2 linked regions of the Pelodiscus sinensis genome follow. The protein of the gene in region 1 interacts with the protein of each later gene in a pairwise test. Links are inferred from orthologs where the notes say so. Each region holds a gene or a part of one and is shown in the gene's direction. Other genes may lie near its edges.

Region 1 (15,630 bases):
CATGTACACCCCTCTAGAGACCCCCCCCCAGCTGTCCTGAGCCCCAGGCCCCCATGTACACCCCTCCAGAGACCCCCCCAGCTGTCCTGGGCCCCAGGCCACCATGTACACCCCTCCAGAGACCCCCCCCAGCTGTCCTGGGCCCCAGGCCCCCATGAACACCCCTCCAGAGACCCCCCCAACCGCCTGGGACCCCAGACCCCCAAGTACACCCCTCTAGAGACCCCCCCCAGATGTCCTGGTCCCCAGGCCCCCATGTACACCCCTCCAGAGACCCCCAGCTGTCCTGGGCCCCAGGCCCCCATGTACACCCCTCTAGAGACCCCCCCCAGCTGTCCTGGGCCCCAGGCCCCCATGTACACCCCTCCAGAGACCCCCCCCAGCTGTCCTGGGCCCCAGGCCCCCATGTACACCCCTCCAGAGACCCCCCCCCGCTGTCCTGGGCCCCAGGCCCCCATGAACACCCCTCCAGAGACCCCCCCAACCGCCTGGGACCCCAGACCCCCATGTACACCCCTCCAGAGACCCACCCCAGCTGTCCTGGGCCCCAGGCCCCCATGAACACCCCTCCAGAGACCCCCCCCAACCGCCTGGGACCCCAGACCCCCATGAACACCCCTCCAGAGAGCCCCCCCAACCGCCTGGGACCCCAGTCCCCCATGTACACCCCTCCAGAGACCCCCCCCAACCGCCTGGGACCCCAGACCCCCATGAACACCCCTCCAGAGACCCCCCCCCAACCGCCTGGGACCCCAGACCCCCATGTACACCCCTCCAGAGACCCCCCCCAGCTGTCCTGGGCCCCAGGCCCCCATGAACACCCCTCCAGAGACCCCCCCCAGCTGTCCTGGGCCCCAGGCCCCCATGTACACCCCTCTAGAGACTCCCCCAGCAGTCCTGGGCCCCAGGCCCCCATGTACACCCCTCCAGAGACCCCCCCCCCAGCTGTCCTGGGCCCCAGGCCCCCATGTACACCCCTCCAGAGACCCCCCCAACCGCCTGGGACCCCAGACCCCCATGTACACCCCTCCAGAGACCCACCCCAGCAGTCCTGGGCCCCAGGCCCCCATGTACACCCCTCCAGAGACCCCCCCCCCAGCTGTCCTGGGCCCCAGGCCCCCATGTACACCCCTCCAGAGACCCCCCCCCCAGCTGTCCTGGGCCCCAGGCCCCCATGAACACCCCTCCAGAGACCCCCCCCCAGCTGTCCTGGGCCCCAGGCCCCCATGTACACCCCTCTAGAGACCCCCCCAGCAGTCCTGGGCCCCAGGCCCCCATGTACACCCCTCCAGAGACCCCCCCCCAGCTGTCCTGGGCCCCAGGCCCCCATGTACACCCCTCCAGAGACCCCCCAGCTGTCCTGGGCCCCAGGCCCCCATGTACACCCCTCCAGAGACCCCCCCAGCTGTCCTGGGCCACAGACCCCCATGTACACCCCTCCAGAGACCCCCCCAGCTGTCCTGGGCCCCAGGCCCCCATGTACACCCCTCCAGAGACCCCCCAGCTGTCCTGGGCCACAGACCCCCATGTACACCCCTCCAGAGACCCCCCCCAGCTGTCCTGGGCCACAGACCCCCATGTACACCCCTCCAGAGACCCCCCCAGCTGTCCTGGGCCCCAGGCCCCCATGTACACCCCTCCAGAGACCCCCCCAGCTGTCCTGGGCCACAGACCCCCATGTACACCCCTCCAGAGACCCCCCAACCGCCTGGGACCCCAGACCCCCCCTCGCCCAGGGTCCCCGGGCTCTCCTGCCCGAAGGGGCGGAGCCCTCCCTTGCCACGGCCCCGCCCCAGGGGAGTTTCCCACGGTGTCACTGGGCACGTGGCGGGGCCACCCCCGCGGGTGCCGATGCCGGGGCCGGGGCTTCCCGGCCGGCAGAGCCCAGAGCCATGGCCGGGAGCAGCCGCGGGGGAGCCGCGCTCCTGCGGGCGCTGCGGGGAGCCGGGGGCCGCCCGCGCCGCGGGGACGGGACTGGGTAAGGGCCGGACCTAGGGAGCTGAGCCGGGCCCCGGGCCCGCGGGTCCTGCCCCAGCTGGTGGGGTCAGTGTTGGGAGAGTGGGGGCGCCCCCCAAGTGCTGTCGGGGGTCAGTGTTGGGAGAGTGGGGGGCGCCCCCCGAGTCCTGCCGGGGTCACTATTGGGAGAGTGGGGGCGCCCCCCAAGTGCTGCCGGGGCTCATTGGGAGATCGGGGGCGCCCCCCAAGTGCTGTCGGGGGTCAGTGTTGGGAGAGTGGGGGGCGCCCCCCGAGTCCTGACGGGGTCACTATTGGGAGATCGGGGGCGCCCCCCAAGTGCTGCCGGGGCTCATTGGGAGATCGGGGGCGCCCCCCAAGTGCTGCCGGGGGTCATTGGGAGATCGGGGGGCACCCCCCAAGTGCTGCCGGGGGTCAGTGTTGGGAGATCGGGGGCACCCCCCAAGTGCTGCCGGGGATCAGTCTTGGGAGATTGGGGTGCGCGTGGATTGGAGTGCGCTGGGGCTGAGAGGAAAGCTGGACCCACGGGGGGATCGAGGGCTGCGCTACCCGGGGGTGTTCCCCGCCCACACCCACGAGGCTGGGCTGCCCCCCGGGATGTGCCCTGTCGCTCACCCCTTGGAACCGGCCTCCTGTGTTTCAGGCATTTAAGTTCCTGTGGGCTCCTGGCTCTGCAAGTCCCCAAGCGACCTCCCGTCACCCCGGCCTTGGTGCTGCCTGCGCGGAGCTTCCTGAACCTGGCGGCTGCGCAGCTGGGCAGCAAGCGGATGGAGTATTCGGAGATGCGAGTCCTGGGGTGAGTGTGTGGCTCCGAGGGGGGGGGCTGCAGGAACCTGGCCGAGGGGGTGGGAGTTGGAATTGCCTCTGGAGGGGGCTGGGGCTTGTTACCCAGGGGAGGGGGTGGGGTGCAGGTGGGTTCCCGGGCCTGATAAACTCCTGGCCAAGGATTCTGCCCGCTACCCTGTGAAACGTGAGCTCCTGCCGGCCTCCTGTCACCCCGGCCCCTGCTCACGGGCGGCTTGTCTCTCCCCCCCCAGCTACTCCACGGAGCAGATGTACAACGTGGTGGCCGACGTGGAGAGCTACCAGCACTTCGTGCCGTGGTGCAGCAGCTCCAAGGTCCTGTCCTGCCGCCAAGGGCTGACGCGGGCCGAGCTGGAGGTCGGCTTCGCGCCCTTCGTGGAGCGCTACATCTCTGAGATCTCCCTGACTCCCCAGCACCAGATCCGGGTAAGGGGCCGCCAGGGAGCCTGGGGCTTAGCTGGGAGGAGCTGAGCACTCACAACTCGCTGCAGGTGCTCGGCACCTCTGATCACTGGCCCGAAGCGTGTCAAGCAGGGGCACAGAGGCTGGTCTTGGAACGGGCTACTGTGGTTCCCAGACAGACCTCCTGTTCTTATGGCTTTGATCCCGGCTGCTCCCCTCTCAAAAAGTTGCTGTGTGAGAGGCAGCCCCCAACACCCCATCCCTCCTGCTGAGGGAACAGCTGGGCTCCAAGGAGCCAAGCCAAACCTGGGTGGCACCCAGCGCCGAACTGTCCTGGGTCCAGTTCCTGGCAGATCAGGGCTGGGGATGCGCTGACGTCGGCGTTCGGGGCAGCTGCCGGATAGGGAGCTTGTGCCCAAGCGAGCCGGCAGCCACTCGAGGGATGGGGGTTGGCGGGTGACCGCACAGCCTGTGCAGCTGTTTCCACATTCACTGACTTGTGCAAAGGTTTGCTCAGACGCGAACAGGAAGCCTGGTTCTTCCTGGCCGCCGCAGGCCCTGTGTCTATGGCTCCCGGGCTCTCCGCGGGGATGTGGCTGGGGGGGCATTGACTTTCCCGCCTCTCCGCTCAGCTGAAACTTGACGCGAGCCGCCTTTCCTCCCGCAGGCTGTGTGCAATGACGGCCACCTCTTCCGCCACCTGGAGACCGTCTGGAGCTTTGGCCCGGGGCTGCCAGGGCAGCCGGACACCTGCACTTTAGAGTTCTATGTGAGTATTCCCCTCCGGGCCTGTCCCCGAGGCAGGCTGGGCCGGGCGTGGGGTGGAAGAGGCCCCTGCACAGAGCGGTCGCTCAAGGCAGGTCACATGCGGGGTCGATGAATGCTTCAGACAGGCCAGCCCCCCCCCCCCCCCCCATCTTGCTGGCAAGTCCTGCCCTGGTCCCCAGGCGTGTGCGTAATTGCCTGGCCACGCACCCCCTGGCTCTGCTAAGCTCTGTGTCCCCCCCCCCACAGGTCTCCTTTGAGTTCAAGTCCATCCTGCATTCCCACCTGGCCCAGCTGTTCTTCAATGAGGTGGTGAAGCAGATGGTGGCAGCCTTTGAGAGGTGGGCCGAGAAGACGTACGGCCCGCAGGCGGCCCGGCGGCCCCAGAAGCGTGTGCGGGCAGCCCGCTGCATGTGACGCCGCCTCCAGCGCAGCTTCTCCTGCCACAGTGGGACCCTCCTGGGAGCACAGCAGAAGACTTTGTCTTCGTTTCATTCTGTCCAGATTTTTGGCTGGACGCCCCCCCCATCCCCGCCCCATCCCTGGGTCTATTTATGTCTATTTAACCACGCGCCCTGGAGAGAAATTATTTTTTTTAATCCTTTTTTGGTTCTATTTAATGCCCTTGGCCTGATCTCTGGGCCTGCTGCTATATCCAGTATTAAGAGGCTCTGTGTCTTGGTTTTTTTTTAAATGTTCTGGTTTTCATGTGACCTCAATAAAATGTGCAATGAAGCTTTGTCGTTCCGAACATTTCCTCACCCGCCAGCCTTGGCTTCTGGATCGCTTCTCGGCAGCCTCCTCCCCCCGCGTCTGGGAAGTGAAGTCACCGGGATGTCTCGGTGCACTGAGCAAACAGGAAATGCCTTGGGAGCAGGAAGGGGGGAATCCAGTGTGGAGCCCAGCTTCCTGCCCATTTCACGGCCACGCACGACCACTCTTGGAGGGGGGGGGTAACAGTTTGGAGGCACCTCATGTGAGGCATCCAGCCGTGAAACCATGACTAGCCCTCCCCTGGCAGGGAACTTGCCTGTGATCTGGTGTGACACAGGCTTTGCCCGGTGCGGCTAGGCGGGGGGTTGTGAGTGCTGGCAGCTGCCCCGCTTGCATCCCAGCGCGTCAGTGTGAAGGTGAAGGGCCCATCCCCCCATTTTGAGTCTTCCCGGCCCCCTTCTGCTGAATGCAAAGTCCCCTGGACTGCATCGGTGCTGCTGGTCGAAGGGCCCCACGCTGGTGCTGGGGAGTGTGGCTGCAATGCCTAGTGGGAAGGGGCTGAGTCCCAGGGGCAGCTTCTCAGACTGATGAAGCTCCAGTCCCTCCATAGGCTGGCACCTGCCACTTGCCAATTGGGTGTCTGCGCAGGGGATCCGGCGGGTCTGCCATTCCATCTCTGGGCCCAGGGCCTCCTGGCAGCCTCTGGGCTGGTGCTCAGGTTCCAGGACTTGCCCTTCCCGCAGGAAGGTGGCAAAGGAGCCGCTGCCCCCTCCAGCTTCACAGAGCTGAAGCCAGTCGGTGCCAGAACCCCCTGGGAGCTGCCTGCTCCTTCCTTCCCCGTTAGCATCCCCCAATGAACTAGATCCCCAACAGAACCAATTGGCCGAACTGCAACCTGTGGGCATGGCCCAGGCTGTTCAACTGGGGTGCAGGGGGTTACCACAGCCCGCCCATCCCACCCTGCTGAGCTCTTTGGCCTCCCCTGGGTAGGGGCTGGGTAGGCAGCTGCCCAAACCATGCGAAGGGAAGGGGAGGGGAGGGTTGGGCAGCCCCACCGATCGCTGCTGCACAGGCTATTGGAGCAGGAAGATCCGGGCAAGGTTCTGAAGGAGGCTGGGGGGCAGCCCCCAGCCCGGCCCTGCCTGCAGCAATTCCCCTGGCTTGTGGCTCTGGGGAGGGGCGCCGGGCGCTGGGGCAGGAGGAGAGCACAGAATGTTTTCTCTGTGCCGCGAGGGGCACGGCTTTGCAGGCGGGAAGACCCGGGTTCCTGGCGCTCTCCCCCAGCTCTGCATCACAGCTGCTCTCGTAAACAGCCCCTACGCGGTGCCCTGGAAGGGCCCAGCCAGAGGGACATGCTGGGCCAGGCCAGGGGCTTCGTGGCCCCAGGAATGGTCCTTGCCCCTCCCCCTCCCAGATCCTGGTGCTGCGCAGGCTATTGGCGCCGGGAGATCCAGACAAGGTTCTGAAGGAGGCTGGGGGGAGGGGGTCCCCCAGCCCGGCCCTGCCTGCAGCGTTTCCCCTGGCTTGGGTGCTGAGCCCTCAAAATCCCCCAGTGCCAGGCAGGCACCTCGGGGTGGGAGACCCTCACTGCAGGTGCCCTGTGGTACCAGGGCTGGGGACCGGGGCCTGTGAGCAGCTGGGAGTCAGAGGAGGTGGCTCCAGGCATCCGGCATCCTCCAGAGAGACTCCCAGGAGCCTGCCTGGGTCTGGAGTGTCCCCTGCACAAATCTCTCATCCCGCTGCCTGAGATGGGTCTGTCTGTGCAGCACCGAGCCACGCAGGGCCTGGGGGCGACTCCTGGCCAGGTAGCAGCCTATAGGAATGGGTCAGTGCGGCCCCCCAGGGCTGTTCCCTTCGCACCCCTCAGGGGACGCGCGAGCTTGTGCTGGCTGCGCTTGGCATCTCAGGCCTGGCTCAGTGCAGCAGGACTGTGCCGTGTGCCCTTTGAGTCCCCTTGGGCCGCAGCCAAGTTGGGGGGGGGGGGGCAGGGGCACGTCAGCAGTGGACTTTGTGCGAGCCGGGCAACCAGCGTCAGAAGGGCCAGGCCGGGGACAGAAGGTGGCTGTTATCTCGGGGCCGATTACGCCAGCAGCAGGAATCAACGGCCCCTGGCATAGGCTGGAGAATGTGACGTCGTGTTGGGATGTAGGCTAAGGGGGCATGTTCTGGTGAGGGGGCAGGGAGGGGAGCCAGGGGTGCCCTAGGGAAGTGTCGCTGCTCTGTGGCACTCCCGGGGCACTGGTGGCTGCTGGAGGGTCACACGCCGAGTCGAGGTTGGGCCCAGGGGCTCAGGGCGGTGGCCACGTGGCTCCCGTGTTCTCTGCTCAAAGCTTGGAGCAGGGGCAGCCTCCCCCAGTGGGAGAGGGGTGCCCAGCTAGCAGCACCCTGCCCAGCGTGCCTCGCCCGGGGGCTGCAGTGGGCAGTGGGGCTGCGTAGGAAGCAGGGCTCCGTGTGTGCTTGGGGGGGGGGGGGGGGTTCCGTGGTGCACTAGCCTGGGGGTGCGTCTCCAGGGAGGCTGCCCTTGCAGGGGGATGGGAAGGGACCTGCCTGCCTGCTTTGGCAGAGACTCCCACTGATGCAATGGAAGAGGCAGGTTCTCCAGCCCCATCTGACTGAGTCAACATGGCCTGTGCCCCAGGGTGTGCGTCCCACTGCCCAATTGCAGCGCATGGGTCCTGGGCTGCGGGGGGGAGGAGGGGATGGGCTGACACCGCGTGGGGGGGAGGAGGAGGGAGCTGGCCAAGGCAGACTGTGGCCTGTCCTGCTTTGGAGCACTGGCTGGTCACACCAGGTGCAGAAATGGTCAAGTGGCGAGGTGCATTCTGTGCCAGCGGCAGCTGCTGGGACAGGCTGCCAGGCTGGGCGACTCCCAGGGAGATGGGTGGCCCGGTTCCTAGTGGTGAAGGGCATCAGCAGCCCTGGCTGGCCATTCCTGACTCTGACACAGCATGTCTCCACGACCTGCGGCAAGTCACCTCATCCACCCTGCGCCCCAGGTGCTGTGTGTCCCCACAGGGTGGGGGGAAGGCGAAGCCCATTGCTACTGCAGCTCAGTACTGGGGGCCAGCAAGTGCCTTGCACAGGGGAGGAATCGTGGTGATTTTCCCTGGGGCTTAGGCCTAGCTGGGGGGGTTTCCTGGGCAGGTGGGGTGAGGTGTGTGGCATGCAGGCAGCATGAGAGCTGAGCCCTGGGGCTATGCTCATCACACACCTTGGGCTGCTGCCAGCCTGGGGCCCTGGTGGTGCTGCCGAGGCAGGGGCAGAGGCAGGGCCTCACTTGCGTCAGGGCAGGTGTGACGTTTGCATGTCACTTCCGTGTGCTCACGGCACCCAGCTGGCAGTGCTGGGGCAGGCTCTGTCTCAGGGCTGTAGAGCACTCATGGGCTGCAGGCAAGGGCCCGACAGAGCTGGGTACAAAGGAATCAGAGACATGACTGGGATGCCCATTCCCTGCCCCGCCTGCTCCACTGGCCCTTTCTGCTTTGTGCTGCCCTGGGAGGACACCTCCCCTCTCCCCCGGCATCCAGTCATGTCTCTGATTCCTTTGTACCCAGCTCTGTCGGGCCCCAGGGGCTGGCTCTTCCTGCTGGCGCTGGGAGTGAGACAGCCTCAGCCCCTGCAGTGTCCTGGGAAGCTCGTTTCCTGCTAGGAGGAAGCCCAGGCTGCAGGGTCCTTGGGGAGGCCCACGCAGCCAGCAGGAGGCCACTGACGGTGGCAGGAGCGACAGAGCAAACACTGAGCCTGCTGCAGCAAGTGCTGCCAGGGCCCCGTTGCAGGGATCAGCTGGGAATGTCCCAAAAGAAATTCGTGCAGGGACAGCGCCAGCCACCTCCTTGAGGCAGCTGCCTCCCGCCCCATCACCTGAGTGGCTCAAAGCCCCCCCCTCGGTGAGCAGCGCTGCCCAGCCCCAAGAGTGCACACATCACAGCAGGGCGGGACAGTGCTCCCTGCCCCCAGGAGCCCAGCCCCATGCCCTGCTCCAGGGGCTGAGGCCTCCTCAGAGGAAGGGGCAGTTCCCGGCCAAGGCGGGAGCCCCCCTTCCCAGGGTCCCATGGGGCTGGGTAGCTGGGGGGAGGCCCACAGACAGGAAGTAGGTAGGCGGTGGCTGCAGGGCCTGCCCCACGGCAAGAGGTCAAGGAGAGGGCACCGCGTGGGGGTCACACGAGGCCAAGGACCCAGCCCTAGGGCCCTAGATCGGAAATGGGGTCTCCTGAGTCAAAGGTCAGCCTCAGGGCAGGGGCTGGGGTCATGTGAGGTCAGAGTCCCGCCCCTCGCAGCATTGACACGTGGTTCCCTCCTCCCCCCCCCACGCCACGTGGCTCGCGGCCCGGCTTAGAATCCTCAGTGTCACGGCGCCCCCTGGTGGCGCAGAACCCTGGGTTCGGCCGCCGTCACCCCGCGCGGTGGAACTACAGCTCCCGTCAGCCCCCGCGGGAGGCGTCTCCCGGATCCCCCTGTCCCCGCCGGGGGGCGAGCGCTGCGATTGGCTGCCGCCCGGTGGTCACATGACCGAGCCCTGGGGAAGATGGCGGAGCAGGCGAGCACCTCGCCCGAGGACCCCTGGGGGAAGGTGAGTCCCCAGGGCGGGACGGCGGCCGGCGCGGGACACACCGCGAGGCCCCGTCTCCCCGGGAGAGGGCGGCGCTGCCCGGCCCCGCCCCCCACTCACGGAGGCGGAGGGGTCCCCCCACGGAGGGGGTCAGAGGTCACGGAATGAATCAGCTGGGGGGGTGACCACAGGGCCGGGGGGGGGGGGGCGACCCCCATGGGACCCCAACGTGCTGTCACGTGGTGGGATAATGGCTTGTTGCGCAAAAAGGCACGTGCCCGAAAGAGGAAACGGCTCGCTCACTGCCTGGTTTGTGTCTCTCTCTCTCCTGCTGCAATTCGCTCACCCCGCCCCGCCCCAGGTGGAGTCTGCCTACAGCGACAGCGGGTTGGATGCCTGTGAGTAGATCCCCCCGTGTCCCCTTCTCCCACACTCCCATCAGGCCACAGCTGCCTCAATGGGCCAGGGAGCTGGAGTCGTTTCTGTCCTTGGCTCTAGTTCATCGTTTCTCAAACTGTGCTCCACAGAGCCCCAGGGCTCCCCCAGCTATCTCCAGGGGCGCCGCGAGGTTGACAAACTGGAAACATGGAGAGGTGCAACCCCTACAATCAGTGGACGGCTGGGGCTCTGCATAAGTTCAACACACACACAATCAGTGGACTGCTAGGGCTCCACATAACTTTTTACACATGTAAAGGGCTCCGCAGCCCAAAACGTTTGAGTACTGCTGCTCTAGTTTAGGCTACTAGGAGAAGTACAGTCTAGTTGAATTTGGTCCAAATCTGCACTCTCTCTTTAAAGCAAGACATATCTGCTCCTTGGAAAAGCAGCACAGATAAAATCATCATTGTATTTTGTGCTCCATCAGTAAGAGGTTTGTGGAGCCCTTCTCATGTCTCCTGAAATTTATTTTGGGGAAACTGCAGTGCAAAGGATATTAGAGTTAACCAATTCAAGCACAGCAAGGTTTCACGTCGGGTCCCAGTGGCATTTCAGCATTCATTGCATCTATCTGCACTCTGTCTGGGAGCTAGTTACCCTGTAATTTGCCTTGTAAAGTTGATCCCTTCTGTGTCCAGTTTACAGTGTCTCAGGTTTAGTGACACTTACCTCCTCTTGCATGATGTAGGAAAATATGCTACGGTGTTTTCTCTTTCAGCATTCTTTGTGGAAAGCACTAGGAAAGGAAGCATAGTATCCCGAGCCAACAGCATTGGCTCCACCAGTGCCTCCTCGGTCCCCAATACAGGTATGGTCCTTCTCCATGTTCCAGCAGCGTCTCACACAATAGGGGCTTTTCCCACTCTCTCACTCATATTCCTGTTCAGTCTCGGTCTCCTTAGGAGTTGTTCTGTACGAGACCGTGATTGCAGGAGCTTCCTCTGCCAGCTAGTGCAGACATCTTGTCCTTGGCTAGGGAGAATGGTAGGGAAGCCCAGGGAGGGCATCGTGGCTTGCTGCAGGGCAGTTTGATGGGACTCCCCTGACCATGGAGAACAGAGGAGAGCTGGAGCGAGGGGCTGACGAAACTTCTTTGCCAAGAATTTCAAATGCCGAGTGGTGATGGATGCTCAGGCTGAGACACCTTAGAGGCCTCATTTCCAGGAAGTGCTGAAAAGCTGGTCTCTCTATGGAAGGGATCTCTGCTTAGACACCCAGTGCCTTGAAATTCCTGGGGCAGACTCCAATGCAGCAGAGCCCTGCTAGTAAGAATCTTGCCTAGACAAGCCAGGACCCAGCCCTGGGGTCTGCGGGAGAAGCAGGTGGTATCCAGTATCAGCCTTCCCTATAATGAATTACCCCAGCTGCTCACACACTGTGGACTGTTGCTAGCAGAGATGTCCTTAGACAGGTGGATCTTTACTGTGTTTGGCCCCCTCCTTTTGGAAAAGCTGTGTGGAGCTAGTCCAGCCCTCTGGCACAGTTGAAATGCTCCCCAGCGCAGACACTGCCTGGTGTCTGTGTGGCCTCAGCAGTTTTTGTGTCTGCTTCCTGGGCTCTGGGAGCTGCCACGTGCCCCCGAGCCAGCGGTGCCCATTCTTCTGCTGCAGATGATGAAGACAGCGATTATCGCCAGGAAACCTACAAAGAGTCCTACAAGGACCGGCGCAGACGTGCCCACACTCAGGCTGAGCAGAAGAGACGAGATGCCATCAAGGTAACCCAGGCGTTCAGGATGCTGTAGGGGTTCAGATGAACCCGTGGGAGCTGTAGATTTACACCTTGTTAAACACTGACTCAGCCAGCTCTAATCATCCGCTGCTGTTGAATCCACAACACCTTGTCACTTCTGCTCTGCTCCTCCACAGAAAGGCTACGACGACTTGCAGGCCATTGTCCCCACGTGCCAGCAGCAGGACTTCTCCATCGGCTCCCAGAAACTGAGCAAAGCCATCGTCCTGCAGAAGAGTGAGTCCGGAGGGGGAGTGGGGCACTGGCCACCCTCTGTTCATGGGGGTTCAATGTGGAGAGCCCCCCCAGGCTGTAAAACCTTCCCTGCAGACACTCAAAACCAAACTAATAGGCATCTTGTGTCAGGCCTCACTGAGCTGTCTGCTTCCTCCCTACTCAGCTCTGCAGGTTACTGCTCCCCTGATCTCCTGCTGAGGCTGAGTAACACTGGTGCAATCAGCCTAGCAAGGCAAAGGAGGCACAGTGTTGCAGGGTGAAGCACTAGCTACCTAGTTCAACCCCCACACACCCACCTGTCAGCCCCTCCTTGCTGCTCACAGGCATTGAAATCACTTGGGTTGAGGCAGGAAGACTGGGTCTAGGGCTTAGGAGTCTGGGACTCTTCCCAGCATATGATCTAGAGCACCTGGCTCCCCTCTCCTTGGAGCTGGGGTATGACGCATTGGGACTCTCAGGAGAGGAGTTGGGAGACTGCCTCCTGGTCAGTTTGGATGCATGAGGTCTGCAGGGAAGAAATCGACAGCCATGCATCAATCCTGCAGAGGCCCCACCGTCCTCCTGCCCCCTGCAGAGTGACATCACTGATCTATTCTAAAATTCTCCCCTCCCCTCTCCTCCCCTGCAGCCATTGACTACATTCAGTTCCTCCACAAGGAGAAGAAGAAGCAGGAGGAGGACGTTTCTACCCTCAGGAAAGATGTCACAGCTTTGAAGATCATGAAAGTGTAAGGAACAGTTTCACACCCCCACCCCACCCCGGGAGATGGGTACATTTGCATACTGCAGCACATGCTGTAAGTGCTCATCTCCCCCCTCCACCTGTTCCGTGTCATTCCATCCTAGAGCTGGTTACTACCTGGCTCTTTTGTGAATCTGGGCTTGACGCAGATCCCAGTACAGCGCGTGGGGACATGGCTTAAGCCCAGGGACTGTCCGTAGGGCTGTACCGACTCTGAACAAGGAGACCCAGCCTGCTCCTGGGTGTCCTCTCCAACACAGAAGGGAGGCCACAATTTCCCTGTATTTATTCCCCTCAAGGAACTTAAAGCCCAGAGCCTGCTAACTTAACCCTACAACCAGCAAGAGCGCTACCTTCAGTCCTAACAAGCACAGTTAAGGCCCTTCCACAAACACTGCAGCACGTCCCTGAGTCTCTTTCACCTCAAACAGATCTTTGGAGAGTGTCTCAGGCCAGAACTAGCTTCCCTGGCCTGCCATTTTACCCAGGTTTCTTTGGTCTGTTTCAGAAACTATGAGCAGATTGTGAAAGCTCATCAGGATAATCCGAATGAGGGGAAAGACCAGGTCTCTGACCAAGTCAAGTTTAATGTTTTCCAAGGCATTATGGATTCACTGTTCCAGTCCTTTAATGCCTCCATCTCGGTAGCAAGTTTTCAGGAACTTTCCGCGTGTGTCTTCAGCTGGATTGAGGAGCATTGTAAGCCACAGGTAAGCTCTAGGAGCCGTACAGTGCATGACATGGGGCAAGCACCTTCATGGGACTTGCCCCTAGCTCTGAAATTCATTGCGGTGAGGTTCTTTTCTGCGTAGAGATACCCTTCGGCACTTAGCTAGTCTCCAGGGTGCTGCAGGACTATTTGATGGTTTTTGAGTTTTTACAGGGGCTCTTGTTCTCCAGCTAAAGCAAGCTTTGATAGGACAGAAACCTTCCCTAAGGGTACGTCTAGACAGCGGTGCTATTTCGGGATATGTCCGGTATCCCGAAATAACGGGCTTGCTATTCCGACATCCCGGTGAACCTTGTTCCATGAGGATTAAGGGACTTGTTGGAATAATGGTCTATTTCGAAATTAAATAAATAGACTCTTTCAAAATAAGCTATGCAATTTGCGTAGCTCGAATTGCATAGCTTATTTTGAGCTACGTGGCACTGCATAGACATACCCTGAGAGGCAAGTGGGTATACAGGGGGCCCTTGCTAGAAGTCCAAGATACATTCCAAAAAACTTGGACTTATAGCGAAACAACTTAAAGCTTTTTGTTTCAGCCACACCAGACTAACAAGGCTACATATCTATCACTAACTTAAAGCACGTAATTTTTTCCCCACGGCTGACTTCCGTTTAAGCAAACTGGGGGGAGTGTTTCGCATGACTTATAATGCATCAGTTTCTACAAACATCAGCAACTTTAGTGTGGAACAGATGTATACCGGGGCGACTTATAGCAGGGACCCTCTGTACCACACCTGCTTGCACTAAGCTTTTTTCCTCTAAAGCAGCTGATTCTGCTACAGTCTGACAGGAAACTGACCAGGCTGAGTCCTTCCTCTGATCCAAGCTGGTAGGTCCCATACTCCCAGTAATACGGTACCTCCCCTAGGTATGTTGCGATTAAACCTACCTGTGCTTGGGTGGGGCAGTGGGTACCCAGCTGCCTTTCTATTCACTTTTCCCGCTCTGTAAGGAGTTCCTGGGTCTGCGCTGGAAGCCGCTGAGGCATTGCCAAGGCAAATGTTCGTCTGTCTCGCGGGGTGACTGATCCTGCCTCCTCCTTCTCCTCCTTCTCAGACTCTGCGCGACATCGTGCTGGGGGTTCTGCATCAGCTGAAGAATCAGCTCTACTGACTGTTGTTCCTGCCCGGGTCCCAGCAGCCTGGGCCTGTGTCCTTCACCCAGACAGCTGCAGAGCACGGCCCAACTGGGAAACAGGCTCCAGGAATAGCTGGTCTATTTCCCTTGTGGTTGTTCTTAAAGCTTCTCTCTGGATTATTTATTGTATTGGCCAAAACCAAAACTAGGCTGTACATACCTCTCCACAGACCCTGTCGCAGTCTGTAGCACCAGAGGGTCCGTAGGGACTCGGCAGAGAAGGGAATTTAAATGTGGATTAAATACACTTCTTATTGCCGAGAAGGAAGGAGGGGGAGGGTCTCACCAAACTGGCACAGCAGCAACTAGGCCTTTCCTGCGCCTGACTCCCTACAGTGGTGGCGGGTGCTCAGCACTTTGCTGCCTGGCCTGCTCTGGGCAGAGGGAGAGGGGAATGGCCTGCAGTCTGACTACTGCCTGTGAGGATGCAGGGCCTGGAAACCACAGAGCCTGGCTGGGAGCTGCTGAACACGGCTGGTTTCAGGCTATGCACTTGCTGACATTGCATCACCCCATGGGGCTGTGAATGGCAGCAGGGACTGTGGCCCAGCAACAGGCAGGGAGACCTCTCTTCCCCCACCCTATTAAAGAGCTCTGGCTGAGCTATAAACCCTCCTGCACCAGGCTACACACTGACCTCTACCAACGGGGCTTAGGAAGAAGTGTCCCTTGGACAGGTTTCCCACCCTTGCAGGATTTCTTGAACCTGTCTCTGAAGCAGCTGGTTCTAGTTACCGATGAGACGGGTTCGGGACTAGTGATTCTGGTGTGTCCCAATCACCTCGTCCTGCCTAGGGACCGACGGCTGCTTGTTTCCCTGGTGCAGAATGACTTTCAAAAAGGCATGCCAAGGAAGCAGGCCCATCACTGCCACATGGAGAGGTGAGGAACAGTGTCAAAGGGACTCTCGCACAGATGACAATAGCTTTGGCCTTGGCTTGAGCCAGCTGCTGCCTTGGCCTGACTCTTGCCCCGGGTCCTAAACAATTGCAGATGAATGCAGCTTTCTTTACAGGCTTCTCTAGCTTTATCGGCACAGAGGCTGATCTGTCGGGCTTTATATTACTTGGCACTTACAATGAAGTCATACTGTCTGGGAAAGTAGAATAGTGTAGCACAGACTAATTAGACGTCTCCTCTTGTTTAGAACTATATAGTTTTATATATAATAAAGCCTTGATTTTTGTAATGAATTGAAAAAAAAAATCACACTAACCTGCTATCAGTTTACATTTTGCAGACAGCTGCTTGTCTGGGACAATTTAAACCAGCTACACCCTGATTCTTTCTTTAGCACCCCAGAAATCTTAACAGCAACAGGCAGCTGTCCGCTAAAGCAGCAATGGCTTTTTACTACTCAGACAAGGTGACGCTATTGGAATTACTCCACCAAAGTGA
Region 2 (16,402 bases), on another chromosome or scaffold:
TAATGAGTAAGAAAATGGTTTTCTGCTTTCTGACTATAATGGTACTTTAAATCTTTTTTTAAGATTGATCAAAACCCCCACTCTCACCTTCCTTTTCTATTAAAATGGAACATTCCACTTGGTAGTGCTGAACTGGATTCACCTCTGGGTTTTTTTATTTGTGCACAGCCTGGCTAAGAATTGTCAGAATCTTTAATTTCAGTAAGGCATATCCCTGACTGCAACAAAGAGCATCCTGGAGAGGAGTAAGCACATTTTATACAAAACAGTTGTTGTAACAGTTGTGTAAGCAACTTACAATCTGTAATATGCCTTAACAAAATTAAAAATAACTAACAAGACCACCTGATCTCAGACATGACCTATTAAGAAATAAGTAATTGCTTCTAATACTTCAGCTGGCTCAAACAGTAGTTATTGCAAAAATATACATACACAATGGGGCTGATTCTCAGCCGCTCTAAGTCCCTGTCTCTTTGCTCTGGCAACGTAAAGGAGCCTGACATTATACTTAGAGGGGACTTTAAAGTGGGTATAAGTGTGATTTAAGTCCCCTTTTCAATGCTGAAGGAGACCATAGAACAACAGAGAATCAGGCCCGATTGCCATAACACAGGTTCCTGTAATAGTATGGCTTAGTAGTTAGAGCATCTGTGAGGGCTCAGGAACCTAGGTTCTAATCCTGACACTACAGTGTGAACCTGGGGCAAGTCTCTGTACCTCAGTTCTATCTGTGGAATGGGGATAATGATACTGGTTTCTCATGTAAAGTGCTTTCAGGTCTACAAAGAAGTAGGCATTGTTCCTAAACCTTCTCTGACAGCAATGAGAGTGATCGGGGCTCTGGTACTTAAATATTTTAAGTACTAATATTTTCAGGTTAAATTTTCAAGTGTAAAATTATCAAAAGCACTTTATAGACATTAATTTAGTCCCACACCAGCCCTGTGCAGTAGGTAATTGTTGTTCCTATTATAGAGAAGGGGAACACAAAGACTAGAGATCTACACATGACTTGAGCAGGCCAAACATCAAGTCAGTGGCAGAGCTACCCAAGTGCATGCAGTAAGCTAGCCTCATACTATCAGATGCACAGCCCACTGAAGGCAGTGGAAAGGTTCACACTGACCTGAATGCGTATTGATTCAGGCGTGTAGGACTAGATCCTGCATCATAAACATTAATGGAAGTTTTTCCATTCATTTAAATAAGAGAACCATAATGAGGATTAGAATTCATGTCTGTGTGTGTGTAAAACTTTTATACAGGGAAAGCTCATCAGGTAAGCTCCCTTTATCAATGGGAGAGAGAGATGCACGCTGGTTGCTCTCCCCCACCATAATTATTTACAGTAGGCCTGATAGTAAACAAGTGTTTAAGTGATTGCAAATGAAGACAGATCAATGTAAGTTACTTAATTTAAACAAATAGAAGATACATAGCTAGTTCTAATACATGAAGAAACTTGTTATATGCAAATTCTTACCTTAAACAGTTTATTTCAGGTATAAGCTTCAAACCAGAGACAAGCTCTTACTGTGACACGCGTAAAAAAAATGACACGCGTAAAAAAAAATAGAGCCAGCAGATTGTAGATTACATGAGATTATTTAAAGCATCTTTGAGTTATGCATATTCATTTTCACAAGCCAAATTTTATAAAACATCAGGGCAGGGAAAGGGCTATTCACATTAACTCCAAGTCCTGCACCTGGCTGACTCACCCTAGAAAGCCCCAGAGGCCTATGGTTTTGAAAGTGGCCGTTAATTTGGGGTTGCCAAACCTGAGACACTTTGGGCCTGATTTCTGAAGGCAGTGAATTGAATAGGAGCTGTGGGTGCTCAGCATCTCTGTATATCAGACCAAGCATGTCTCAATTTTGGCACTTAAAATCAGTCACCACTGTTGTTTTCCTTAACCTCTCTGTGTCTTAGTTTTACAGATGAGCAAACCAACGTAGTAACTTGTACCGTAAGTAACATGTGAAATTAAATGTCAGATATCTGACCACATACAGGGAGAAAATTGTCCTTCCATCCCTGTAGGCAGACTCCTTTTCCTGTGTGGAGAGAGACCTGTATTCTTTATTGGAGAATTACAATACCTTAACAATACCTCAAACCAAAAACCCCAGAGGGACTGCCCCAAAGTCACAGCAAAGCTCAGGTATTGACATGGGGAAATGCCAGGGAAAGAAAACAAAAATAGATAAATAGCATCTAGCTACAACGAGACACATCCTGAAACTACGGCAAAGGACAGAGTACAAAAGGATGCAGGTAGTGAACTATGAATAAAAGTGTTCCAGAGTTAGAAACCTTACCTCTACAGTCCTTGAAAGGTTTTAACTCAGGATTGTAAGTAGTACCAACCATACTCTTTCAAATGCTGTATCAGGACATAAGGCAAATAAAGATCCCTTCAGAATGGGGCTATGTTATTTAAGACTTTAAATACTACCAATAAGACTATGAATCATACTGGATAGAAAAGAGGCAGCCAGAGCTACTTTCTGCTTCTACATAAAAAGTCGCTTAAATTTTGCCCTAAACGATAGCTCCATCACTATAGACCAGCTGCTTCTTAAGCCCTTGTCATTCCTGTTGCCAGTGCATAGAACAGAAGTTGAAGATGGAAAAGCAGTATGTAAGGGCCCCAATATAGGAAAGGTTTTAAGTACATGTTTCTTTTTCTGTATATGACTAAGTCATTGGGTCTGATTCTTCTGAGATGTATATCAATTTTATGCCTGTGCATCTCCACTACTTGAGTGGAGCTACAACAAGGGAAGCATCACACCTATAACATTTATATTATTGTCTTGCATCTTACAAAAATATAAATGTGGTGAAAGGTTTATCAGTATTCATGTGGGAGGACCTGAACATTCATGACTGCACTGATCATGAGTAACATGTGGTTGCCAAAATGATTCTGATGAAATCTTTAGTCCACACAAAATCAACATGACTTCCATGTGTACATGCACACCCATGCTCATAACTTGCTTAAGCAAAATCATGTATTCTGCATTTCCTAGGATAGTATGTGTAAAAAATATTTAGGAATCCCCTTTATATGCTAAATGCAGTTGATAAAGGTAATTTAGCCATGTATAGAAATCATCTGCTTTTTGTCATTGTGGTGGCATATGTGCTCCTCATCACAGGTGGGAGCCTCTTCCTGAGTGGGATGCTACCTGATTGGCCACAAGGTAGCTAGCCATTTCTACAGTTCACGAAATAATCAGTCTCCAGGGAACCCCGAGCCCACACATGACCTTGTCCCCCAGATCGTGTCACCTAATGGCCTAAGTCAGTAAGAAGCCCTCTAGTCCAGGGAACATGGCACACTGGCTAGGGTTGATAATGTTGGGGCTAACATCCTGGTAGGGGAACCTGGGTCCACCCTACTCCACCAGGTCTCGACCCAGGGTCCTGTGAGCAGCAGCACTGCCTACCACTCCCCCGGCAGGGAATCTGGCAGAAACACACCAAGGCTGTGTCTATACTGCACCCCTTTTCCGGAAAAGGGATGCAGATTAGACACATCTGAATAGCAAAATCCACGGGGGATTTAAATATCCCCCGCGGCATTTGCATTTACATGGCTGCCGCTTTTTTCCGGCTTGGGGATAAGCCGGAGAAAAGCGCCAGTCTAGACGTGATTCTCCGGAAAATAAGCCCTTTTCCAGAGGATCTCTTATTCCTACTTTCAAGCCGGAAAAAAGCGGCAGCCATGTAAATGCAAATGCCGCGGGGGATATTTAAAGGGTAAATTTGGAGTAACGGGCCCTGGGGAGGAAGAACATAAAACAATGCTCAATTATCTTAAAACAACTAACTTCAGCAAGAACCTGATTCTGTGGCAGCCCCATGAGTTCAACGGCAGAAGTATCCGTGTGGCTCAGGCTATGAGTGGTAAGTCTTTGAGCAATTCTATGTCCCCACCAATCAATGGACCATATTTGCTGCAGCATGGTATTAGTGGAGTCATTTACACCTGTTCAAAGCTGGTGTAAAATGCTACCAAATCAGAATTATAGGGCAGCCTGACTGCTTCTCATGTTGTCACCACTTACACCTATATAGAATGGTGGTCAAATGCGGTATCTCCATTTCAGTAGCATTTTATAGTTATTTTACACTGGTGGTATATCTGGTGACACAGTATACACCAACTAAAGAACTGGGCCTACTGTCTTTGCATATTTAGCATAAATGAATCCTGGAAAGAGATTTAACATCTCAGTTTATCTGAATGGCTTTTTTTAAAAAAATAAAAATAAAAACAGGCAGCTTATAATTTATTTGCCATCTCTTTTTTGTTGCACTGATAAGCCTCAAGACAGTTAAGACCAAAGCAGATTGTGAAGAGATTCAAAAAGTTCTCAACAAACTAAGTGATTGGGCAACAAAATAGCAAATGAAATTTAATGTTGAGAAATGTAAAGTAATGCACAATGGAAAAATAACCCCAACTACACATACAATATGATGGGGACTATTTTAGCTAGAACTACTCAAGGGAGAGATCTTGGCGTCATTGTGGATAAATCTCTGAAAACATCCACTCAGTGTGCAGTGCAGTCCAAAAAGCAAACAGAATGTTAGGAATCATTAAAAAAGGGATAGAGAATAAAACAGAATATTTTATTGCCTCTATATAAAATCATGGTACACCCACATCATGAATACTGCACAGATGTGGTCACCTCATCTCAAAAAAGATATATTGGCATTGGAAAAGGTTCAGCAAAGGGCAACAAAAATGATTAGGGGTTTGAAGTAAGGATGTTAAGTAATGGTTAATTTACTAGTCAATAGGCACTTCTGCATTCCTCCTTTGAAATGTACAAGAGCCCCTACTGGGAACTCCGCATGCACCCCGGGCCAGTGGGAAGTCCCGCTGCCTCTGGGCTGCATGCGGGTTCCAGCTTTGAAATGTACAAAGAGCACAGGCTCTTGTATGTTTCAAAAGAGGAATGCAGAAGTGGACAGCACTTCACCACTGAGCTGGGGATCAGCTGTGCTGGCACTGCCCCTTTGAAAGCCGCCTCGGCATTTCAAAGGGGCAGCACTGCACAGCTGATCCCCGGCTTAGCTGTGCGACACTGTTCCTTTCAAATGCCGAGGCAGTGTTTCAAAGGGACAGTGCTACACTGCTGAGCAGGGGATCAGCTGTGCAGCACTGCCCCTTCGAACACCACCTCAGTGTTTCAAAGCAGCAGTGCCACACAGCTGATCCTGGGCTCAGCTATGTGGCGCTGCCACTTTGAAGTACCACCTCTTTCCCCCTCTTTGCTGCCTCCAGCTGATAGAGGCAGCTGGGGAGGGGGAGGAAATCAACTAGTAGACTAGTCCTTAACATCCCTAGTTTAGAGTGGTCCCATATGAAGAGGGATTAAAAAGACTTGGATTTTTCAGTTTAGAAAAGAGGAGACTAAGGGAGGATATGATAGAGGTCTATAAAATCTTGACTGGTGTGGAAAATATGAATAAGGAAAAGTTATTTACTTGTATCCAGAATATAAGAACTAGGAATCACTAAATGAAATTAATAAGCAGCAGGTTTAAAACAAACAAAAGGAGGTTTTTCTTCACCCAGCACACAGTCAACCTGTGGAACTCCTTGCCAGAGGATGTGGTGAAGGCTAGGACTTTAACAGGGTTCAAAAAAGAGCTAGATAGATTCATGGAGGTTAGGTCCATCAATGGCTATAAGCCAGTATGGGGAGGAATGGTGTCCCTAGTCTCTGTTTGTCTGGAAATGGATGACAGAGGAGGGATCACTTGATGATTACCTGTTATGTTCCCTCCCTCTGGGCAGGGGCGGATATACGGCAGGGCGAACGGGGCGGCCGCCCCGGGCCCCGCACTTCAGAAAGCCCCGCGCATGCGCCGTGGCACCGCTGCGCATGCGCATGGCGTCACTGCGCATGCACCGTGGCAAAGGGGGGGCCCCGTGGAAGTATGCTGCCCGGGGCCCCGCAAAACCGTCATCTGCCCCTGCCTCTGGGAGTGGCATTGGCCACTCTTGGCAGACAGAATACTGGGCTACATGAACCAATATGGCCGTTCTATGTTTTTATGTTCTCTTTTGCCGTAAGGTAAACAAGACGGGCCATGTCTACCACCTTTTCTTACACTAAATAGTTCTTAATCATTCATATAGTTTTACTGAAGTCAATAGACTACTCATATAAATACTTTTCAACAAATGCAGAATTTGGCCTTGTTTGACTGAAGAAGTGATGAAATCAAATCATGGTCTGTTTTAAAAAAATTGTTTATATGTCCTGCTTTTGTTAAAGTGAATGAATTCTGCACTAAGAGCTATATAGACAGGCCCCTGCACCTGAGAAAAGCCATTTCTCCATATGGAGTCCAGCTGATTTATGGGATTCTGCATGAGCCAACATCTTTCCCAGGATACCTTGCAGCACAAAATTGTGCCTACAGAGATCTCAGTGCAGCATCAGAGCCTACCTGAAGATAAGGGAAGGAAAGTACCACTAACTTAATGTTTATTAATGTACTTTTCCCCCTTTGTGCTCCTTCACGTTAGCTAACAAGTTATGTGATGTACCATATTCAGATCCACAAATGGACAGAAACAATAGGTAATGAGGCCCTAGTCTATCCATGACAGGTTACTTTTCAGATGCATGTTCCTTAATTCCTTCAAAAAAGAATTAGACTGAAAAAAATCTGCAATATTTAAATCTAAAATGAAAATTATCTGTTTTTCTATACATCCTAAAATGCTTTTGGCCGAGGAAGAACTTTTGATATAGGCAGGCTATTCTCTAAGGCTATGTCTACATTGTACGCTTATTTTGAAATAACTCATGTTATTTTGAAATAACAGAGTGTGCGTCTAAACAGCGAGCCTGTTATTTTGAAATAATTTGAAATAATTTAAAAATAACAGGCTTCTTACTCCGACTTCTGTAACTCTCATTTTATGAGGAGTAAGGGAAGTCAAAAGAAAGTGTTCTTCCCTCGACTTCCTGCTGTGTAGACAGTGCCAAAAATCGAGTTAAGGTACTTCGACTTCACTTATGCAATTAACGTAGCTGAAGTTGCGTATCTTAACTTGACTTTGGACCCTAACTGCCTACTGCAGGGTTTCTTGCACCTTCCTCTGAAGCAGCTGGTACTGGCTTCTGTCAGAGACAAATTGCACCAACCAGATCACTGGTATTCTATCTTCCTCAAAGGATGGGGGGAGGGAAGGAGTACTTCTGTAGTCAGCCTGCCAAAGAAAGTGTGTTAAAACCGTCTAACCCACCCCTAGCCTTTGCAGGGAGATGGCAGAAAGGCCATTTGCCTCCTGTGTACTGGAGGCCTGTCTGGTTGCAGTGCATAAAATATACATTATGCCTAAACCATGCACTGTTAAGAAAATGCCTACTGTCATCCTAAGCAGAAGCAGGATGGAGCATCAGTTGCGTAAATAAATTGCAAACTCATGTTTCCCCGTAAACTGCTCCACAGTACTGGTTTCTTTTTTTGGTAAACTAGATAAGTACAAAATGCTACAAGCACAGTATAAAGCATCCTGGGTGGTTAGAATGCATGTACTCTTGCTACTGCTCAGCTTTTACTTGCTACAGGATGTTTTTACTTTCCATTTAGCAACACCCCTATGACAGCAACAGCCATCCAGTCATGGGCTGGCTACAGATGTGTATTTTATATAATGGTAAAACAGTTCTCAAAATATATTTGCTTATTATGTGCATATCAATTATTATTTACTGCTGTATCTGTTATTAAATCTGAAAAGCCCATTGGGATGAAAGATGCTATAAAATAGTTTATAACCTGAAGAGTTTGGACAAAGTATAACCAACAGAACAAAGCCTATTTGATTTATTGGAGTAAGCATCCACTCTGAAAAACAGTGGGTTGTTTTCACATGTGGATGCCACTAAAAGGCTTTCAACTTTGAAATTGGGACTCTGTGGACTCATAAATTCAGATTTCATCAGGATTGGTTCAGATCTTTCTGGAGCACAGAGATGGGTGGGTTTTTGGGGTGAGACTTTTAAAACAGTTCTGTGTCTTCTGTGAGAACACTTAAATCAAATCCAGAATATCTGAAGTTGGTCACCCAAAAATCAAAGCACCAAACTGGAACAGTTTTGGCTTGAAGAGCCTATGGTCCTTTATTGTAAGAGCAGGAAATTTACCCTGGTAAGGTAAAAGCAAAACCTCCTTTGCCAGATGCATTTGCCTTACTTGCTGCAGCCCTTCCACCCAGAGGTGGCTGCATTTGGTGCTGCTATACTACATAGTTTAGGTACTTTATCATCTTTTGTCAGGCAAAGTTATCTCTATATAACATTCCCTGCATGGTGGATTCATTTTCTTTTTTAGGTCATGCATCTGATTACAGCTAGGGAAGGAAAGAAAGGGACCGTAGAGCTTCTATTCGAGCACTCTAGTGTTTATCCCCAGTCCCTAACTGAACTGCAGCCCGATCTTCTCTTCCTCACAGCAACACAATAAATCCACCAGCAGTACGGGTAGATGGACCCCTCCTCCTTCACTTTCCTGAGCGCCTCCCCTTTCACTTGCTTGAAACAGGACACACCTCTCCAAAACTGTTGGCTAGTTTCAGCTGCTTATTTGCATAGACTCCTCATCTCCAATCAGCAATTGCTGCCTATTTAATATGCATAAAGCCGGCCACTCAGTAGGCTGGGGGCCGGGCCACCACGTGCTGTTGCTAAGCTTCGGCTTCTAAATTGTTACTGTAGTGGCTGGCCTATCAGGGAGAAGATTCAGATCTGTCAACATTCTGTTTCCAAACCTGAGGGAGCTTGTTTTTCCTGATTGGTTCTACTTTGGAGCTAAAGCCCGCCTCTTTTTAGACATGCCGTCCATGATTGGCTATGTCAATCGCCTGTCGCCTGTGTGTCAAATGTAGGTTGAGAGAGGTGGTTTATATAGGGGACTTGGAAGTCCCCAGCCTGTGAACTCAGTGCAGTTTCTGATGCTTATTGCCTTCCTCAGCTGTTTGAAAGGCAGACAATCAGATACAGAGTTTGATAACTCAAAGAACACATATAAAATGGAGCTGAACTCTCTGTTAATTCTTCTGGAAGCAGCTGAGTATTTGGAAAGAAGAGACAGAGGTATTCAGAAAAAATGACTAGCAGGCACTTATAACATTTAACTCTCTTTGTTGCGTGGGTATTCGGACGCCCTTTTCTCCGAGTCCACATTTCCTTCACCTGCACAAGTGCCCTATGTTTTTGTTAGATGCACTGCAGAGGGGGCAGAACAAATGCAGTTTTCTTGCAATTTTTTTAAACAAACAAGCTATGGCTCGAATCGGTTTGGATTGTATGTATGTTGAAGTTTTCATATATGTTACATTGTTGTGTGTTGCCGTTTGCGATTGTATTGCAGTTTTCCCCTTTCCCTTGTCAAAATGTTTCAAGATTTGCATGATCTAGCCATGTTTTACTGTTTACTTAGATGATCCTCCTATTTTGGCACTTTTCGTTTTGTTGTGTTTCTTTTAAAAATCCGGAATAAAAGCTAAACAAATCAACCAACATTTTGTTTTTTACCCTAGCGTTCCTGCAAAGGAGGAAAAAATGCATGGAAAAATATATTGCCACTAATGCTGACTTTGTCCCTAGAAGCAGAACATGGCTATGCATCAGTGTTACCCTTCGATAGTGACTATTCCAGAAAGAAAACAAAGGCAGGCACCCTGGCCAGAAAATCCCAGAATAACAGGTAAAAGCTGTACCATCGTTTTCTACAGTGAATTAGCAACTTTTCCTATATGTGTAAGTTTATGTGCAGCTCATAGATGTATACAAATAATAACTAATCCTGTCGCTTAGTTCCCAGTAGTCGCCATTTTTCCCCTGTATGGGCTTGGCTCTGTTTTGATCTCTCATATAAACACTGCCACGCGTACACCATCGCCTTAGCACTCACTGCCTTTCTGAACCATCTGCACTCACGCGTCTTCGCCTGGTTTGTTTATGAATGTGCGCTGTTTTCCCATGCATTTTAAAATAATAATCAAAATCCTGACTTCCCTTGCATGACACTAATTCCCTCCCAGGACTTATTTACAATCTCTTTATTGCTGCGAGAGCAAATACAGCCTCCAGTTGCAGTGTAACGCCGGGATCTTGATGAGGGGAGAGTGGGGGGAAAGGGATGAAAACGTGGCTCCAATTATACTGGGACTTTTGTATGCATTTTAAAATGTTTCGAATGAACTTGACCTCTGCGGACGGTCTGAGGCATTTTTGCCCTGGTCAGTGCAGCAGCTGCCTGAGCGAGTCGCTCCGCATGCAGCATTATTACAATGCATAGTTACATTATGATCAGCTGCTTTTTGTTTGTTTGTTTGTTTCTTGCAGCCACTACCTGTGCTGTGATCACCATTAGCTCAAGGTTTCTGCGCAGCCTCCCTGCAGCTTTGTTTGGCTGACCAGGCAGTGCTCAGAGTGCAACTGTCTACGTGCAGAAGGCTGTCTTAAAGAGACAGCGCCTCCTCTTTACGTGGGAATTCCTTCTTTTCTTGCACTTTATGTTCTTGAGGGGGGAGGAGACCAGATGGTTCCCTCCTTCTGCAGACCATTGGTGCTCTCTGCTCTTAACAAAATGACTCCTTAAAAAAATTGTTGTTGAATATGATGAGCCCTGCAGAATAGCCTAAAACAAACAAAACTTGCATATGACATTTTTCAAATGAAAGGAAAGTTGGCAAAATTCTTTGATCTCACTTACTCCAGCGTAAATGCTGCAGAACCCCAGTGTAGTCAGTGAGATTGCTCTGGATTTACACTGGTGAAATGGGAAAGTAGAAATCGGCCCAGTCATGGATATTAAAGTTTGAAGATATGAACTAAGCAAAAAGCAAACAGCTTGCTCAGAAAAATACAAGATCACAATGAGCTGTGTTTGCAGTAACCACTGCAGGGAAATGTGCTTGAACACGATTGAGGGGAATAGAAGGTGTAAATCCTTCCCCTGGCCATCCCTGACTCCAAATAGCGATGAATGCTGATATTTCTGGGAATATACATTCAGGAGTGGGGGGAAGTAATAGTAAAATTGGTTACAAAGATACAATATCAGTTGATTTTTAAATGTGAATTACCAGGAATCACAGAGGTGCCTAGATTTTGAGACACTGTTCATCTATATACATGTTACCTCTGAATTTTTTGATAAAGTAACCATATTGTGCAAAAGCAGTTATTTAAACAGGATTCTAGGGTTTCAATTCTAATTCTAGAGTTTGTGGATTTGCTCCAATCCTTGTTTCTTGTACGGAAGAGAGAGAAATCTGTATTACTTGGGGAACCTTCATTCCATCATTTCCTTTCTTGGGTTTCTTGCTGTCCACAGCAAAACAGTTCTTTGAATTTTTAGCAGAGGATATATAATCTATCAATTTCAGCAGAATTAAAAGATTCCTTGTTAGAGGTTTGACGGGCTTATCAAAGCCAGAGCACACATCATTACTGACGGATTGTCTGATATTTCTCCTAATATTTTTTTCACTCTAATGCTTGCCACGCACACACAAACGCTTTTAAAAAAATGCATAATGATCTTTTTATTGTTTTATTACCAGCTTTATTTGTTACAGACTAAAAAGGGCTCATTCATAGTGTGTGTGGGATAGGGCAATACCTCTGGAGAAGTAGGTTCAGCCGTGGCTAAGGCCACAAATTCAGTCTCCATGTTTAGTTCACCGTGGATATTTGTCCACATCCTAAAGAAAACAGCAATCTCTATAGACAGTCTCTATAACACAGACCGACCCATGGCTGGAAATAGCAGGTTGTTGCGATACGGGGTTGAGGTGCATTGGCAGAGGTGTTTGAGCAGTCCTACATTGTGCTTGCCTACAACATGCCTGTTTTTATCTGTTACTTAAGCTCGTAGGTTCAGATGCAGCTTTATTTCAAATGTATGATCCCAAATTCAAATAGTACCACCTCTCTTATTCATTTTGGGAGCATAGGCGCTGGTGCTAGGGGTGCTCAGAGTCTGCTGAACCTCTTGGCTTGAAGTGGTTTCCATTAGATACAGGGTTTACAGTTTGGTTCAATGACTTGTAGCACTATCCAAATTGTTCCAGCACCCTTGTTTGGGAGCAAATGTCAGGTTATTCGGTTGTCAGGTCACAGCCTCAGAGTGCATAGAATTTGAATGTATTGTTCAATTTGATCATGCAATCAAATCTTTATAAGCAGTTCAAGGGATTAAGAAGGGGCTAGACAACTGGCCAGATTTCGGACGATCCTGAGTGGAAAAGAATAAAATTAACTAGTCAGGCAACCCTTTTTTGGCTGGTTTATTTTAATCACTTTACAGAATCTCAATGCATGGATAGGTGCAGGCATGATTGGGTGTGAATATCTGGAGGGCCATCTCTTTGTGCTCTGGAGTTGTTTTTTTAAAAGGTGGGGGGAGGGCGACTGCATATTGCAAAATTGCAGAATGTTATTTTTTCAGTAACTTGGTTATTTCTAAATCCTATTTCTTCTAGAAGTCTCAGCAGGTTTGAAAATTAACCTTTGCCTATATCATTTGAGCACAAATAAAACACATAAACAATTGTTTTTAAAGCTTGAAAAGCATCTCTTTCATGCAAGGATAACTCCAAAGTGGGTCACAGAATTGTATTGAATTTAAAAAATTAAATTAGCCTCTGGACTGAGAACAAGCATGAGAAATTTCAATTCAAATCTCTCCTCATACTTAAAAAAAAAATAACAGGCAATTGGACACAGGTTCATATAGGGAAAAAAATGTTTCTTCAGCCACAGCTGTGACTATTAACAAAAGTCAGCTCACTGAAAGAGTTCATATTTTGTATATTTTTGTTTGTTGATGTTTTTGTTTAAAATATCACTCGGTGAGTTTTAATTTTATGTTGCTATAGAAAACATTTTCATGTTACTGTGAAGACAGCAGAAAATGTTGCTTGATGACATTTTTGCCCCATCTCTGTATAAGAAATATTAGTTTTTAATAGATTGATGTATACATTTCCTTATGATGTCCAGTCCGTTGCCCTTGAATCAGGCTATATTTATATGTTCCCACTTTATACAAAACAGACTTGAAAGGGTTTTTTAAGAAAAACTTCTTTGTGTCTATGGCATTCTCTCCTAAGGTTCAGAAGTGTTTCCCCCAGATGCTTATTATGAAAATTCCTTAGTAGATTAAACTGGATTTTTGGTTTCCAGTCTGAATGGATGATTCGAAAAAGGTGCAAGTTTGTAATTGATTTTTTCTGGGGGAGGGAAGATAAACCCATGTCAGCGTCTCTTGTAATGGTGATAACTAGACATTATTTGGCCATTGTGTAGTAAATGTCTCCTTTGGATAGAGTAATAATAGTAGTTCCTAAAAGCAATACAGTGGAGCTTGTTAAAATTATTGCTAATACACAATTGGAATAAAATCAGGCTAGAAAAAATTCAGTTAGTAGAGTTGTGCCTTGGAGGTTGCAATGTTAAATTTTCAAATGTCTTTCCATGTAGTACAGTGAGTATAATAAAATGGATGTATTACAGATGTCTGCAGTTTGTTAAGAGGGAATATTTCACAGAAGCAGAAAGTCAAAGAAGTTCAGAAGATTACTTGGTTGCAGAAAGTCATTTGTAAATAGGAATTCACTGTAGCTTGCAGATAATTGGAGCTTTCTTGTTTTGTTTCCTGTTTGTGATGCCGACTTAACAGAGATAAGCCTATGCATTTTTGTGTTTATATAAGGGGGAAAACCGGTAGCCTGAACTGACCCCCTTGTGGACAGTGGCCCACAGCACAGTACAGTTAGACAAGCCTGATTCTCCATTGCCTGGTACTTTGTGCAGTCTCTTATCACTGAACAGTGGGTGTAAAACACTATAATTTATCTTCGCATGAGTGTAAAAGACCACAAAGCAGCAGACGATCAGGCCCAGTGTGTGTTCTGGCCAATGAAAAGATAAGAAGTAAGTAAATATGCAGAATAAAACCTTAGTGCTCGATCCCTGACTATTGGGGCACAGTTAGATTTACTGGCAGAGCAGGAAACTGGAAGTCTGTGAAGTAGCCTGCTTGGCCTATTAATTTAGAAGCCGATGAAAAAGAGGGGAAAATGAAAGCAAAACTTAGATTTATAAATATCCCCACTGCCTTGATTGAAACTAATCAGTATTTATATTTGATATTTTATATCAATGGATATAGTTGTGAACAATGTACTGTGCTCTGGTGAAGGATATATGTGCAAAAGGATGTGGTGGGTCAAAACTGCACGTTTCAAATGAAAATATTGTTTAATGTCTCCATTGCTTGTCTGTCACTGCAAACCAGTCTGATTTCTGTCTGACACTGCTCTTTGCAGACTAGAAGTGTGTGAATTGTTCAGCTAAAATTCTTTCAGCCAAAAAATGCAGATTTGGGTCAAATGAAACCTTTTGTGAATTTGTATTGACTTTGTGGTGAATTGTTTGGTTGCATTGGAAAAAAAGGGGGAAAAACCCTTCAGAAATGTCAAAAGCAATCGTTTTGACATTTCTGAAGTGTCTCATTTTGATTTTTTCAGGCGAGGTTCATACACCAGAAATAGTGATGGTGTCCCTCTTATAACCATTAGCTTAGTACATAGGGAAGTAACCTGGGATGACTGTAGAGTCCTACTGTCTCTGGCCAATGGCTATTAAAGTACAGATTGTACCTCTAAAATCTGGGATTCTCTGGTCCGGCAACATCCATGGTCCGGCACGCTTCAGGGGAGTGAAGACCCGGAAGCTGGTGGCTCATTTGGGCTGCAAGGTGAGAGCCAGGAGCCGGCCTGCAGCTCAGTTGGGCTGCTGGAGTTGGCGTGCAGCTCAGCGGGGCTGTGGAGGAGTGCCAGGAGCCGGCCTGCAACTCAGTTGGGCTTCAGGAGTTGGCTTGCAGCTCAGCGGGGCTGCGGGGGAGTGCCAGGAGCCAGCATGTGGCTCAGCTGGGCTGGGAAGGTGTGGGAGCTGGCGTGTGGTTCAGCTGGGCTGTGGGGAAAACCAGGAAGTGGGGAGAGGAAGCGGGGAGAGGCCCCTGAAATGACCACCCCGATCTGGAAAAATCCCTCATCTGGGACTAGTCAGGTCCTGAAGGTGCCAGATCAGGGATGTCTAACCTGTGTTTCATATAAAATGGCACAGCTCCAGTGCAGATGGACCTCTAGATCCAGAAGGAGTATTTTAGAGTTTGGGACTTATTTTCTTTCATTTATTAAATGACAGTCTGAGAATAAAATAACTCAAAATCCAGACTGCGGAAAAACAATGATGTGTTTTGCACTCTCTGAACTAAGTGTATCCTTCTTGTTTATTTTTTTCCCCTAGGAAAGTGAGTCCTGAAGGAAAATTATCTATATTACTGAACGTATAAAGCAAATAATGCTAGTCATTCTTCTGCTCTACTCTGCGCTGATTAGGCCTCAATTGGAGTATTGTGTCCAGTTCTGGGCATCACATTTCAAGAAAGATGTGAAGAAATTGGAGAAGATCTAGAGAAGAGCAACAAGAATGATTAAAGATCTAGAGAACATGAGCTATGGGGGAAGACTGACAGAACTGGGCTTGTTTAGTTTTGGAAAGGAGAAGACTGAGAGGGGACATGACAGCAGTTTTCAGGTATCTAAAAAGGTGTCACAAGGAGGAGGGAGAAAAATAGTTCTCCTTAGCCTCTGAGGATAGGACAAGAAGCCATGGACAAGGGAGGTTTAGGTTGGACATCAGGAAAAATTTCCTGTCAGGGTGGTTAAATGCTGGAGTAAGTTTCCTAGAGAGGTTGTGGAATCTCCATCTCTGGAGATATTTAAGAGCAGGTTAGATAGATATCTATCAGGGATGGTCTAGACAGTACTGGGTCCTGCCGCGAGGGCAGGGGACTGGACTCAATGACCTCTCAAGGTCCCTTCCAGTTCTAGTGTTCTATGATTCTAGTGCTGCATTAATCAAATACATCTTGTAAGTTGAGGAAGTTTCTTATGAGGAAGTATAGTATGTATGACAGCAGCAGTCATTATGTGTTTTGTTTAAGTCACCTAATGACATGCAATGTCAGACCTCGCTCTTACATACAGATATGTCATACAAACTCTACAGTCTCACTAGAGTCAGAGTTCTGCATACAGGACTGCGCCAATGCATCCATTTGTGGAATCCTAGCCTTTTTCCATAATATTGGCAAAATTCTGCTTTGAGGTGGAACTAAAAGAGAAATAGTTTTAAGAGTTATGATGTGATAATTAAAGAAAAAAAAAGGAGGGGAGCAGTCAGACTCAAAGAATGCAGATCTGAGGTTGTGTTTTAACCACTCAAATATCAGGTAATCCAAAGTTCATCCCGGGTCTTGCAATGTGCCCAGC

The links.
Region 2: the proteins of MLX (region 1) and MXD4 interact in a two-hybrid assay, tested with the Homo sapiens proteins (2 studies listed by BioGRID). The link is inferred for Pelodiscus sinensis from reciprocal best matches to the Homo sapiens genes MLX and MXD4.

The regions. Positions count from the first base shown.
Region 1 is NC_134739.1:8,863,818-8,879,447, reverse strand, and holds the start of MLX (max-like protein X), read left to right. Parts: upstream 1-9,109; 5' UTR 9,110-9,184; coding exon 9,185-9,229; intron 9,230-9,569; coding exon 9,570-9,606; intron 9,607-10,367; coding exon 10,368-10,457; intron 10,458-11,259; coding exon 11,260-11,366; intron 11,367-11,517; coding exon 11,518-11,617; intron 11,618-12,245; coding exon 12,246-12,345; intron 12,346-12,867; coding exon 12,868-13,069; intron 13,070-14,151; coding exon 14,152-14,208; 3' UTR 14,209-15,630. Other genes in the region: coenzyme Q-binding protein COQ10 homolog B, mitochondrial-like, read left to right, coding at 1,893-1,978, 2,618-2,770, 3,012-3,204, 3,848-3,949, 4,195-4,362. UniProt on the Homo sapiens protein: Transcription regulator. Forms a sequence-specific DNA-binding protein complex with MAD1, MAD4, MNT, WBSCR14 and MLXIP which recognizes the core sequence 5'-CACGTG-3'. The TCFL4-MAD1, TCFL4-MAD4, TCFL4-WBSCR14 complexes are transcriptional repressors.
Region 2 is NC_134715.1:117,916,508-117,932,909, forward strand, and holds the start of MXD4 (max dimerization protein 4), read left to right. Parts: upstream 1-8,942; 5' UTR 8,943-9,004; coding exon 9,005-9,146; intron 9,147-9,184; exon of another isoform or gene 9,185-9,298; coding exon of another isoform or gene 9,299-9,361; intron 9,362-9,592; coding exon of another isoform or gene 9,593-9,659; coding exon 9,660-9,759; intron 9,760-16,402. UniProt on the Homo sapiens protein: Transcriptional repressor. Binds with MAX to form a sequence-specific DNA-binding protein complex which recognizes the core sequence 5'-CAC[GA]TG-3'.